3 separate regions of the Mus musculus genome follow, and all the other regions are reported to be linked to region 3. The links are microRNA targets in miRTarBase. Many come from high-throughput screens and were not tested one by one. Region 3 holds a microRNA gene; each other region holds the end of a gene's coding sequence.

Region 1 (4,000 bases), not on the chromosome of region 3:
ATCTCTTCCTTCTGAAATATCAAGTTGCAATGCAGAGAAGATGAAAAGGGCAATAAAGCTAGGTATGGTAGTATAAGCTTGTAATCTCCGTGTTCAGGAGGCTGAGGGATATGAGTTCAAAGTCAATATAAGAAACACAGTGTACAAAACTAATAAACAGGCAGGAAGAGCACTGTAAACTCAATGTTCTTTAGCTTAAATCTAATAGATGGTTTCACATTAACTACAAATGCAAACATTCCATATGGCAAGAAAAGCTTTCCAGTGTTGAGTCTTTAGCTCTTTTCAAACTGTCTTTTGCCATTCCTTCAACCTCAGCCACATTTGGAATTCCCAAATCAGCTTGTCCTGTTAGGTATGATGATGCTGAAATGCATGCCCCAATGTCACTCCTGCTAGTTGATCTCTAAGCTCCCAGGATATATATATATATCCCTTCCTAGATGTATATAAAAAGGCTAGAAAGCAGGAATCACATTTTACTCATGTGTGTGATAAATATGTAGAATAAATGAAATTCCACATAATTTTATGGCATGGCATATATGTAGCCTTCCCATCAGACACACAATAAAAATAGTATTTCATATCTAGAAGACACCTCATTTCACTTAAGCTGCTACATTATTTGGTCCTTAATTTTGATTAGTCAATTACTAGTACTTTGAAAGGTCCTAATTATCAGTTCATTGTTTTGTAAATGTGACTTTGGTTTTATTTTAAAATGTAAACTTAGAATTTTGTATTAACTTAAATAATAGGTTAGGCAAATCAAATTGCAATACTGATACTCATTAAAAGTAACTTTTAATCAGTGCCAATGAGAAAAGAATTTTGTTGGCACTTGGATCAACATGTGCTTTGTTATTTATATATTATGTATGAAATGAGCTTCTTTCTCAATGCATATACTATGATGCAAATTTGTTTCATTATTAAGACATCTGGATATTGCATATTTAATGGACTTACCTATGTAAACAGTAAAGAAAACAAAACTATCTTCTAAAACTTGAAAAATGCAAATCATAAAGACTGTTAGTTGAAGTAAAGCTGTTTACAAAGACCTTCACTCATCTATTTAAGAATAATATTGACTTGACCTCTACTTCCTATCTCCATATTTCTATTTTTACTTATTCAAAGACTAAGTTCCTAAGCAAGAACTAATCTTGATATATTTATTCAAACTTGGATTACATAAATTTCTCTTATATAGATGTAAGACAACACATTCATCTTGACAAAACTTTACCTTAACATAGTCACTCAAAAGATATGTCAGTAAGACTAGAACAAAAAACTAGAACAAAGTAAGAACAGTTAGGTGTAGTTTTGTTCCTTTAAGGTTGGCTTAGAATTTTTATTCACAAAAGCCTTACTTCCTTATTTCATTCTGTTGGACTTTCTTGATAGCTTATTTTTACAAATTAACCATTTAAAATATTTGTAGTTAAACAGCTGAATCAGTATTTGGATAAATGATTTGGAATAATTGCTTCCTGAAATAATAAGAAATGAATGCCAATAGACATTCAATGTTTACTAAGTTATTAACCAACTGAATAAAATATCTCTATACTTTCAGTCCTTGAAATACTCCTAAGACATACTCTAAAAAATATCTGAAAAGATAATATATTCACCACAATGGTCCAGCAGGTAAGACTAGATATGAACCAACCAACCCAGCCACCCACTCTTTACTTACAGCATTCTCTATTCTTCTTCCCTAATTTGGTGGAAAATTCTTAAGAACTATATTCTAAAATAAAAATGTGTCCCAAAGTACTTAAGAAAATGGTACAAATGGAAGGTGCCATTATTTAAAAAAAAAAAAAAAAAAAAAAAAAGAAGGAAAAAAATCCTAGCATTAACTAGCGGTAATCTGTGAATGGTAACATAATCCCACTCCACTGTCATGCATGCAGAAAGGCATGATATTTCAAAATTGCCTAACATTAAAAAATAAGCCTCTTAAATTAATTTGTATTCTAAAACACGGCCCTTCATCCTGGAAATTTTTTCCTCATAAAAAATGATGAGTCATGTATAGGATTTGAAAAGCCTGTATTAAAACTCCCTTTAAAGTTTTAAGTTCAATCACTATGTTTTCTATTATACTACATTTGGCAGATTTTTTTTGTCTGTAATTGCAGTAGTTGCAATTTAACAATAAACCAGTCTGACATTTTAGGTCTTGAAGATACATACCATATATATTTCTTTAAAAATAATCATACTTTTTGTGAGCAATACTTTACAGTAGACACCTCAAAAATCTACCATAGATGTGAAACTTAAAACAAGAAAAATTCAAATTCTAAATCTTTATACATATATCTAGATTTCTATATATATTATATATACAGACATAAGTATATATAAAATATATATAATCAGATTTGAAAAGTGAACAAAAATTGGGCACTGTACATAAATTCTTTTTAAAACTCAAACAATAGAAAACTCTTTAAACATTAAACAATTTTAATAAAAGTTTCTGTACAAGGCTAAGCAGTTTTATTTACACATAGAAAATGTAATAGGAGTAGTGTTTGAAATTACAGAACTCCTTAAAATTTCAATGGCAGGTAAATCTGGAAAAAATAACAGCATTCCATTCACAAATATTTTCAGGCAATAAATATGTATTTATAAATAGTGTAAATTTACATCAAGATTAGAAACAAAAAAAATCACAATTCTGAAGTTTATTTCTTAGTCTATGTGCAATCCATTATCTTTGTGACGTTGCTGTTAATTATTTTTTTTAAATGTTTTATTTGGGAACCAAAATTATAACGATCATAGTTTCAAAACAAGACAGAAATTCATAAAAGCAGTAAAAAAAGTTTCTTACTTAACTTTTCACATTAAAAAAAAAAAGGTGACCAAAGAAAGACTAAATATTGCTAACTACCTTACAAAGAAATGACCAGCTAGGCTAGTTATTTTCCCCCCCGAATAAAATTCTGAAAGGGAAAAGATAGGTGAAAACAAATTCATTAGCCCAGAAATCGAGAAATATAAAAGAGGTTGTCTTCAAGTCAGTAGTCTTTATGATGTTGCCAGTTTTGTCAGATATATACAAAACGTGGTAATTATTATTCTTTTTTTTTTCTCTGAAGTTCAGCTAATTAGCTTTACGAGAGTCCTGGCATAGGAGCAGTACTCTCCCGTCCAGTTGGTTGACACTCCACACTTGGAAGGTTGCATAGACACAGTTTTCAGCCAGCAGCCTTACGAGATAGCTACAAATAGCAGTGGTGCAGAACTGGGTTACTTTCTGAATAGCAGAAAAGGTCTCATGTTTAATGTCCATGGAACAATATCAAGATGAGGCGGATGGTAATGGAGGAGCCTGGAAATAAAAGCAAGGCAGACTATTTTGGTATGCTCATTTGTTAGTTGTGCTCCTTGATTCACAGCTGCAAATATATATGTTGCTTTATGAAACTGGCGGAAATTATTCTCTGTTAAAGTTCAACAGCCTTGTTACACAACGAAACAGTACAATTTCCCTTAAGATCTCCCACCTGGCCACCTTTTGTAAGAATCTTTTGTATGTTTTACTATGCCTCCTAAATCTTTTAGAATATTATTTAGTTTACCACTTTTTATATATTGCTTTCATTGACAGGGCTTTACAAAATCAATTTATCAAATTATTTACAATATTACTAGTGACTGCCTTCAGTAATCTAAGGCTGGTAATACTTTTTTTTTGGGGGGGGGGATAAATTCCAGGTGATTTTCTTTTTTTCTTGAAGCAATCTTGAACACCATCCAAATGAAAATACCAGGAGCTAAACTTCAAAAGCTAGGTTTTGATTACATGTATGTGGAAAGTATTGGAAGAAAAAAAAATTCATAAATTATGTCTGTAGTTCTAGTCAGATCTGTTTTGAGTGAAATGCTTCCTGTATCTGCTGCTTACAATGAAAAACTTTGTGATTTGTGAGTACACTTAAAATTCATAAGGTTATACCACATGCAA
Region 2 (4,000 bases), not on the chromosome of region 3:
GAGGTTCGGGTAAGGAAGACCCGGTAGCCTAAAGGGTATTTTAGAAGGTATCATACATTCCACAAGACTTCAGCAGTGGCCTTGGTGAAGAGGCCCACGGAGGAGGGCCTCGGGGAGAGCTGAGCATGGCTGGGTTCACAGCCACAGTTCTTCTCAGGTGGGTGCAATGTGTGTTCCAGAACAAGACCGTGGTGAACCTGCTATTTGCTGCATATAGTGGAGATGTCTCGGCCCTTCGAAGGTAATTCTGTCATGACTAAATAGAGGTAATAAAATACTCGCAGTCCCACATCTTATTAGGACACTGTGCAGCAAACTGCTAAATGCTTCGGTTTACCCGTTAGACTAGAGAAGCTGCATTTAAATAAGTGTCTGTAGGCTCATTGTGTACACATGCCTGCTTGCCCAGTTGCACATTTGTATGTGTGCCTGTGGTAGCCAGAGGACAATTTCAGATGTCATAACCTATCAAGCCCCAGGGACTTACCTGTCCCCACCCCCCACCAATCTAGGATTAAAAACCAGTGCTACTATTTTTATTTTTTTTTCAATGTGGAGTCTGTGGATCAAACTCAGGTCTTGGCAGGCAAGCACTTCACTGAGCTATCTCTCCAGCCTGAGGATTTGTTGTTTTAAAATCAAAGCGCCTGCTGTGAGTTAAGAATTCATCAACTCAGCTGGGCTAGTGGCGCATGTCTTTAATCCCAGCACTCGGGAGGCAGGCGAATTTCTGAGTTCAAGGCCAGCCTGGTCTACAGAGTGAGTTCCAGGACAGGGCTATAAAAAGAAAACCTGTCTCGAAAAACAAAAAACAAACAAACAAAAAGAATTCATCAACTCAGGGCTGGAGAGATGGCTCAGTGGTTAAGAGCACTGACTGCTCTTCCAGAGGTCCTGAGTTTAATTCCCAATAACTACATGGTGGCTCACAACCATCTGTAATGGGGATCCGATGCCCTCTTCCGGTGTGTCTGAAGACAGTGACACTGTACTCACATACATGAAATAAATAAATAAATGAATCTTAAAAAAAAAAGAATTCATCCACTAATGGCGTGGGTTTGGCGAGCATAGTCATTGGAAGTGACTCATATACAATCCTCAATGGATTGCCAACAGGAACCCATCCAGTCTGGCCCCACTTCAGAACGCTATCTAAGTGATTCCAGACTGGCAAGGGTAACCCACGCGACTTCCCACTCCCCTCAGGTTTGCATTGTCGGCCATGGATATGGAGCAGAAGGACTATGATTCCCGCACAGCCCTACATGTCGCTGCAGCTGAAGGTATCTTTTTGGTTTTGGATTTTTTATTTGTTTTTCATGGCAGGGTTTCTCTGTGTGGCCCTGGCTGTCCTGGAACCTGCTCTATAGACTAGGCTTGACTCAAACCCGGCCTCCCAAATGCTGAGATTAAAGGCATGTGCCAGCACTGCCCAACCTAGCTGTAGGTATTCAGAGGGTTAAAGAGAAAGAGCAGAGTGGAGGGCCCTTTCTCTTCTACCAGATGTCCCCCTATCATTGTGCCCATAAAGGGCAATGGCTAGTTTTGTCTACAGGCCTTTCACCCGACAGGGAGACTAGACTGTAACTAGGGGCTAGCAAGAGCAAATATTGAGGACTTTTCTCCTCCCCTCTGGTACAGACTCTAGCTACCGAGGGTCTACACCAAACAGTTCAGAACCTACCTGCACGCTCTCATTTTCCTCCTACCTATATTCCTAGGGCACATTGAAGTTGTCAAATTTCTGATCGAGGCTTGCAAAGTGAATCCTTTTGTCAAGGACAGGTGAGTAATATTTAATTCTAAAGGGAAGGAGGTCAGCCTTCCGGCCATTGTGCATACACATGCAACAATGGCTCTCTCCGAGTCCTCTTTGCCTAACTGTGATCCCTGCTCCTCACAGGTGGGGCAACATTCCCCTGGACGATGCTGTGCAGTTCAACCACCTGGAGGTGGTCAAACTGCTTCAAGATTACCATGACTCCTACTTGCTCTCTGAGACTCAAGCTGAGGCGGCAGCTGAGACCCTGTCCAAAGAGAATCTAGAGAGCATGGTATGAGCACAGGCCCAGGGGCAGTCCCTGCTTCAGAAAAAGCATGAGCTGGCCACACATTTAACCCACAGCCACCAAAAATACTACGGCAAGCTGCTTCCTTGGGGATCGACACAGCCATTTGGTGACACAGGCCAGTGTTTTCTGAGAATCAAAACGCCCCATCAGTTCAGTGCACAGCACAGAGAAAAGCCTCAATGGATACCTGAGCAGAGCTAGCTACAGAGACCTCCAGATACAGCTCGAGAGTAGCCCGGGTCTTTACCCAGGTCCCCTTTTCCTCTCTGAAGAAATCATCATGCCAACAAGCAACTTCCTTGGAGAGCCTCTAGCTACATGCATATGTATCTGCCGCAGAGTAAGAGAAATGGGTGAGAGCCAAACCACGTGGCTTTAGAAGTCTGCGGAGATCTGTCCATCTTAGCCAGGACACGCTGCTACTGCTGACAGCAATTTTATAGACAGAGTATTTTGTGTTCAAATAAACTTTAATTACATGAATTATAATTTTTATTTTATATTTTGCTAAATTTAGTCGTTCTCTTTCTCCCCTAAGGACATCATCAGTTATCACCATTGTAGCACCCAGGGTCAGACAAGTCCAAACTGAATATTCCGCATACATATTCAACTGTTTCACCAGGTTTTCCTCAAACCAAAATACTGCTTTTATTAAGTACATTCTGTGGCCAAGGGAGATGGGAGTTGTGGGTCTGAACAGGCTCCAAAATGGATTGTGTAAAGTTGTCTTTTTTCTGGAGCTTTGAACTGTGGCAGATACACAGAAGGAACTTATCGAGGGTAACGTTTCTGGCACCAGAGCCATACATGTCTCCCTAGTGTCTCTTTCCCTTTGTCACATAACTGGCACAATGGTTATGGCAAACTGCCTAGGTATCAGGTATCCAGAAGACAGATGGACTCAGAGTGGAGATAGCTGCATCTGGGTTGGACTGACATCTCTAGTGCTGAGGTACAACTGAGGAAGCCAGAACCCAAGAATCTGAGGTGCATCAGAGAAAAGGCCAAGCCTGTGGCTGCCACTCCTCCAGCCAGAGGTAGAGAGCATTTACTCTAGAGAATCTGGTGAGCCCCCAAAACAAGTTACATGTGGATAAGGGACGGGCCGAGAGGCAGGACCGCAGGACTGAACAGTCTAAGGTGTGTGGGCACAAGTAGAAGGACCCAAAGAACTGGCCTGAGGAGGCGAATCCCCTGATGACCTAGGAAACTGGCGACTTTGGCTGTATACCTAGCTCTTACAGAGTAGGGCCCAGGGGAAGATGGCTACAATATTGCACAAAGGATCCCAACAGAATTGTGAGAGCTACCAGTTGCTTGAAACAAAGTAAAATCGCTTTAGACACTAAGGACAGAAAGCTGACCATGAGCACGATTCAGGGTCTTGGCCACATTAGAGGCCCTTGGGCACTTCGAGTCCTGAGTGGGTTAGCAGCTCTCCATCCCAAAGAGCAAAAGCAGGTGCCACTGGGCCCCGGAAATCTGTCTGTAGTGTGTGGATCACAGAGATCCGACTCACATCCACCAGGCTCAGCTTCTTTGCCTCATAGTCCAGCAGCAGCCCCACCTTCTCTGGTTGCCCAATACCCTTAATTGGAGCTTTTTCGTTGGCCAACATGCTGTGCCACTTGCGCTGGGCATAGGAGAACACCCAGGAACGATCATCAGCACCAACGCAGCTGTCCCGGGACATGTCCACGTCTGCCACTCCTATCCGGAACTGCTGGGAGCGCTTCACTGTTACCTCCCAGTAGTGTCTGCCACTGGTGACTGTGGTGTCTCCGAGCACCACTGCCCACTCCCGGAAGCGCTCCAAATTCAGGGCCACCTTGGTGGGTTCCAGTCCCACCAAGCCATATTTGACACCCGTGTCGCCTCTGAAGAGTGCCAGGCTGCTGTGGGCCGTTTTTTCTTCCAGTTTG
Region 3 (4,144 bases):
TGGCCTACTCTTTTCAATATCAACTTCAGCTTTGAAGGTTTCCAAAGAGGCCCCATTAACCTTGGGGGTGGGGGGGCAAGGCAGAAGGACAAATGCCTTGGGGTAGAGGTTGTCCATGCTTCTTGCTTTACTTACAGCGCATGTTAATTTGGTCCACCTTCCCATAATAGTGAATGCGCCTTGGGGGCTTCCTGTGAACAATATTTCCTTAAAGGCACAGTGCTAGTTACGGGGTCTTCTCTTCGCGTCCTTGCAAACTTCTCTTTGCTATATTCTCTGCATCTGCAGCAGGCAATGCATGGTGGTCTCTTTTCAACATTGCATCTAGGGTTTCCTGGAAGTGATAATCATGAGGAAAGAAGCCAGCTCCTGCACCACCCTCTCTCCATGGTACCTGAAAAGATGGTTGACCATAGAACATGCGCTACTTCTGTGTCGTATGTAGTATGGTCCACATCTTCTCGTTATCAAAGTCATTCGTGAGGGTTTTCCAGAGACCGAGCCAACTTCATGGGAGATATCCTGTCCTGGCTTCAGCACAGTACTTGGGGAGATGGTAGACTGTCGAGTGTGTGCGTTAATTCCAGCATGTACAGCATGGTCCACCACATCTCTGCATCAGCCGGTCACCAGGGGCTTTCTGAAAGCCATACCAATTGAGAGTAGGGCTCAGGCGGCAGACCCTATCCAACACAGATTACCCAGTGCTTGGCTACAGGCCATGTTCATTACCTACGACTCTGGCCATTTGATCCAAAGCCAATATTTGGCACCCAGCCCAGCCTTACAGGGCATCCTGGAAGTCATAGTGGCATTAAACATGAGTTTGTGGCCATTGCCACACATGCCGATTGCTGGTAGTTTGTGACACTCATTGAGAAGGCATTTTGGAGGTAACACCAAATTAAGTAAAGTGAGCTGGAATCAGCCAGCGTTACCTCAAGGTATTTGAAGATGCGGTTGACCATGGTGTGTACGCTTTATTTATGACGTAGGACACATGGTCTACTTCTTCTCAATATCACATCTCGCCTTGGAAGACTTCCAGGAGGTGACATCTGCTTTGAGGAAGAGCCAGTGTCCCGGTCTTCCTACTGCTGCTGCTTGGTACTTGGAGAGAGGTGGTCCGTGGCGCGTTCGCTTCATTTATGGCGCACATTACACGGTCGACCTCTTTGCGGTATCTAATCCCGCCTTGCGAGCTTTCCTGGAGCTAACACCAGCTGTGGGGTGGGGACACTAAATGTGTGTGCTAGCGCAACCCAGCCAGCGGGTTTGTCTTTTCTTGTGTCTGACAATAACTCTTGTGTGGCAGCCTTCTTCTCAGCAAATTTCTCTGGCTTGGCAGCTTCGTGGGCAGGGTGACTTGCAGACCAGGAAAGTGGCATCGACATGTGATACACGTGTGGGTGCGTGAGGTGGTTGACCAGAGAGCACACGCTATATTTGTGCCGTTTGTGACCTGGTCCACTAACCCTCAGTATCTAACCTTCCCTTGGAGAACTTCCTGGAAGAGATCTCAACTTTTGGGGACAGAGGCAATAAGCCAGCTGTACGCTGTTAGACTTGGAGACAGCATCCTCAGTACTTGCAACATATGTGCCTGTTATGGTAGTATTGGATGGGCTTCCAATGCTGTCCTATACTTGGATCCCTTCCTTGATATGGGGCCATCCAAGTTCAAGAAACGTACCATGTTGTCAGACATGACCAGGGTGTGTGTATGCCATTTATATATGGCACAGGTCGCAGGTCACCTTAGCACACTTGCATGCTAAATCTGTGGGAGGAATCATCTTTGGTTTGGGGGCATCTGTGCCTTTCTGTGGTTACCCAAAATGGTGGTAAGTCCTATAGCCAGTCTCTACTGCGCCACTGCTCTCTGGTTGTGACATAACTTCAGGATCATGCCATGGAGGTCTGCTGTACTGGGGCATGTGATGGGATGGCTGTCAGATATATATCAACTAATGGCTTGCTTGAGCACTTTGACTAACATCCAGTGTGCAACCCTGCATTCAACAGGCCTGCCAGGTCTGAAGGTCACGTTGGGGAATTACCGAGGTAGTCTTGTCAGTGTTCGCTTCTGGTACCGGAAGAGAGGTTTTCTGGGTCTCTGTTTCTTTGATGAGAATGAAACACACCCAGCTAACCTTTTTTTCAGTATCAAATCCCATCTTGGAGGCTTCGTGGTCCAGATCCCAGTCTCAGGGAAGGATGGTCCTGTCAGCATCCAGCCAGGGGACAGGAATAACTGGTTCTCCACAAAGCCAGCGAGTGGATTATCGTTCTGAATGGTGTCCTTTGTCCTCTAAACCCTCCCAGGCCTGCCAGGTCTGAAGGTCCAGTTTGGGAAGGTGTCATTGTTATTGTTAACTGAGGATGTGGAAGAGGGGTTTCTGTGTTTGAAACACATTTGGTCAACCTCTCTTCCCATCAGAACAAACTATGGAGGCCTTCTGGTCCATACCTCAGCCTCAGCTGAGGACACACTAATAGTTATGAACAAGTGAGTGACGGACAAAACCCATCCCATACATCAGATTTCTGTTGCCTGTGCTTCTAACCTTCAGTATCTTGTCCATTCTCAGGAGGACTTCTCAACCAATATGGTGTTCCAAAGTTGGGGAAGATGGCAGCCACCGAGGCAACTCTACCCCAGGTCATCACAGGTAGGTTGCACCCACTTTGCTTCTAACAGGTTAGACACAGCCACCCCCACACATGTCCAGCATGCTTTGGAGGCACGGTGATGGGCTTTTAATCAGCCAACCCCTGCTATAGGACTGTCTATTGTAGAGAACACCCACTGTGTCAGATGGTACCTAGATCCATGCTATTCACACACACCCACATCCTTGTAATAAGAGACTTGGAATCAGCAGTGTTCTAGCAGTAGGAAAGCAAACCTGAAATTGGCACACACATTTGCCCAGTGAGCTTTAAGATATGAAATCTGGAGCGGGGCAGTGGTGGCGCACGCCTTTAATCCCAGCACTTGGGAGGCAGAGGCAGGTGGATTTCTGAGTTCGAGGCCAGCTTGGTCTACAGAATGAGTTCCAGGACAGCCAGGGCTATACAGAGAAACCCTGTCTCGAAAAAAACCAAACCAACCAACCAACCAAACAAACAAACAAATAAACAAAAGATGTGAAATCTGTTCTTAGTCCTTAACTCCACCCAGGGTTGTGGTCAGCAGTAGAGCTTTCTGTGGGGTTCCAGGTAGAACACAATTCTCATCTGCAAATCATGAGCCCTTTTCATAGGCATTTCATATCAGATATCTACATTATGATTTATAACAGTAGCAAAATCACAGTTATGAAGTAACATTGAAAATAATTTTACAGTTGGGGATTACCCAACATGAGGAAGTATATTAAAGGGTCACAGCACTAGGAAGGTTGAGAACCACTCGACCAGGGGGTGGAACTGCCTGCCCCTGCCTGCTGCTTCTTTATACTACCACATGTGCTGGCACACATTTACCTTCCTACTAACTTTATAATGTGTCTGCTTTTAGAATCTTACCTTCCCTGGAAACTACCCAGACTCACAACCAGAGGGCTGGGTCGCTTCTCATCACCCACCTACCTCTTGGAACCAGAATCCGAGGCTCATTCCTGAACACCCCCAATGTACTGTACTTGTTGAAGTTGAGAGCTACTATTCCCCTGTTATCTCCTGAGGCACAATTTCTGGGGTCCCTGGTTCCCTTCAGTGACCCCCCCTAAACCTGGAGAGATAAGGAATGCAGGTGGTCTGTGTTGTTGGTAAATAGTCTCAGGCAATTCTGTGGACTGTCAAATTGCACAGGGGTTTTGGTTGCTCTCCAGGGCCCACAGAAGCAGACACTTCTGACAAGGCACCTGGCACTTTCCAGCTGCCTTTGTTTGCTTTCTGACCAGTGCTAATTGATACTTGAAGGAGAGGTTGTCCGTGTTGTCTTCTCTTTATTTATGATGAAACATACACGGGAAACCTCTTTTTTAGTATCAAATCCCACCCTGGGGGCACTCCCTGTCCCTGATGACGCCTTCAGGGAAGGGACCTGGACTGCTGTTCCCTGGACTCTGGGACATGGGACATGGGAGTATGGCATCAGGACTCAGCCCTGGAAGGAAAGTCATTTGAAGAAGGGACA

Evidence for each region. Region 3 holds the annotated microRNA mmu-miR-758-3p (UUUGUGACCUGGUCCACUA, at 1,455-1,473, shown strand). A microRNA usually pairs through its seed, bases 2 to 8, with sites in the 3' UTR of a target mRNA and lowers its output. Matches are read on the target gene's strand: a 7mer-m8 pairs with bases 2 to 8, a 7mer-A1 pairs with bases 2 to 7 and ends in A, and an 8mer does both.
Region 1: the mRNA of Kdm6a is a reported target of mmu-miR-758-3p. Seed matches in the 3' UTR shown: 8mer at 2,746-2,753 and 7mer-A1 at 2,246-2,252.
Region 2: the mRNA of Spryd4 is a reported target of mmu-miR-758-3p. The part of its 3' UTR that is shown has no 7-base or 8-base seed match.

The regions. Positions count from the first base shown.
Region 1 is chrX:18,277,990-18,281,989 of GRCm38, reverse strand. Kdm6a (lysine (K)-specific demethylase 6A) reads right to left here. Exons shown (of 29, transcript NM_001310444.1): 29 at 2,054-3,364. The coding sequence ends at 3,335. Among named protein-coding and RNA genes, the nearest start is that of Kdm6a, 120 kb to the right of the region's middle.
Region 2 is chr10:128,207,382-128,211,381 of GRCm38, forward strand. Spryd4 (SPRY domain containing 4) reads right to left here. Exons shown (of 2, transcript NM_025716.2): 2 at 2,527-4,000. The coding sequence ends at 3,472. Gls2 (glutaminase 2 (liver, mitochondrial)) reads left to right here. Exons shown (of 18, transcript NM_001033264.3): 14 at 1-9; 15 at 180-241; 16 at 1,210-1,286; 17 at 1,725-1,788; 18 at 1,907-2,623. The coding sequence ends at 2,063. Among named protein-coding and RNA genes, the nearest start is that of Spryd4, 2.4 kb to the right of the region's middle.
Region 3 is chr12:109,711,404-109,715,547 of GRCm38, forward strand. It overlaps Mir758 (microRNA 758), which reads left to right and starts at 1,407; the gene lies at 1,407-1,487. Mir380 (microRNA 380) reads left to right here and starts at 400; the gene lies at 400-460. Mir1197 (microRNA 1197) reads left to right here and starts at 914; the gene lies at 914-1,033. It overlaps Mir323 (microRNA 323), which reads left to right and starts at 1,105; the gene lies at 1,105-1,190. It also overlaps Mir329 and Mir494.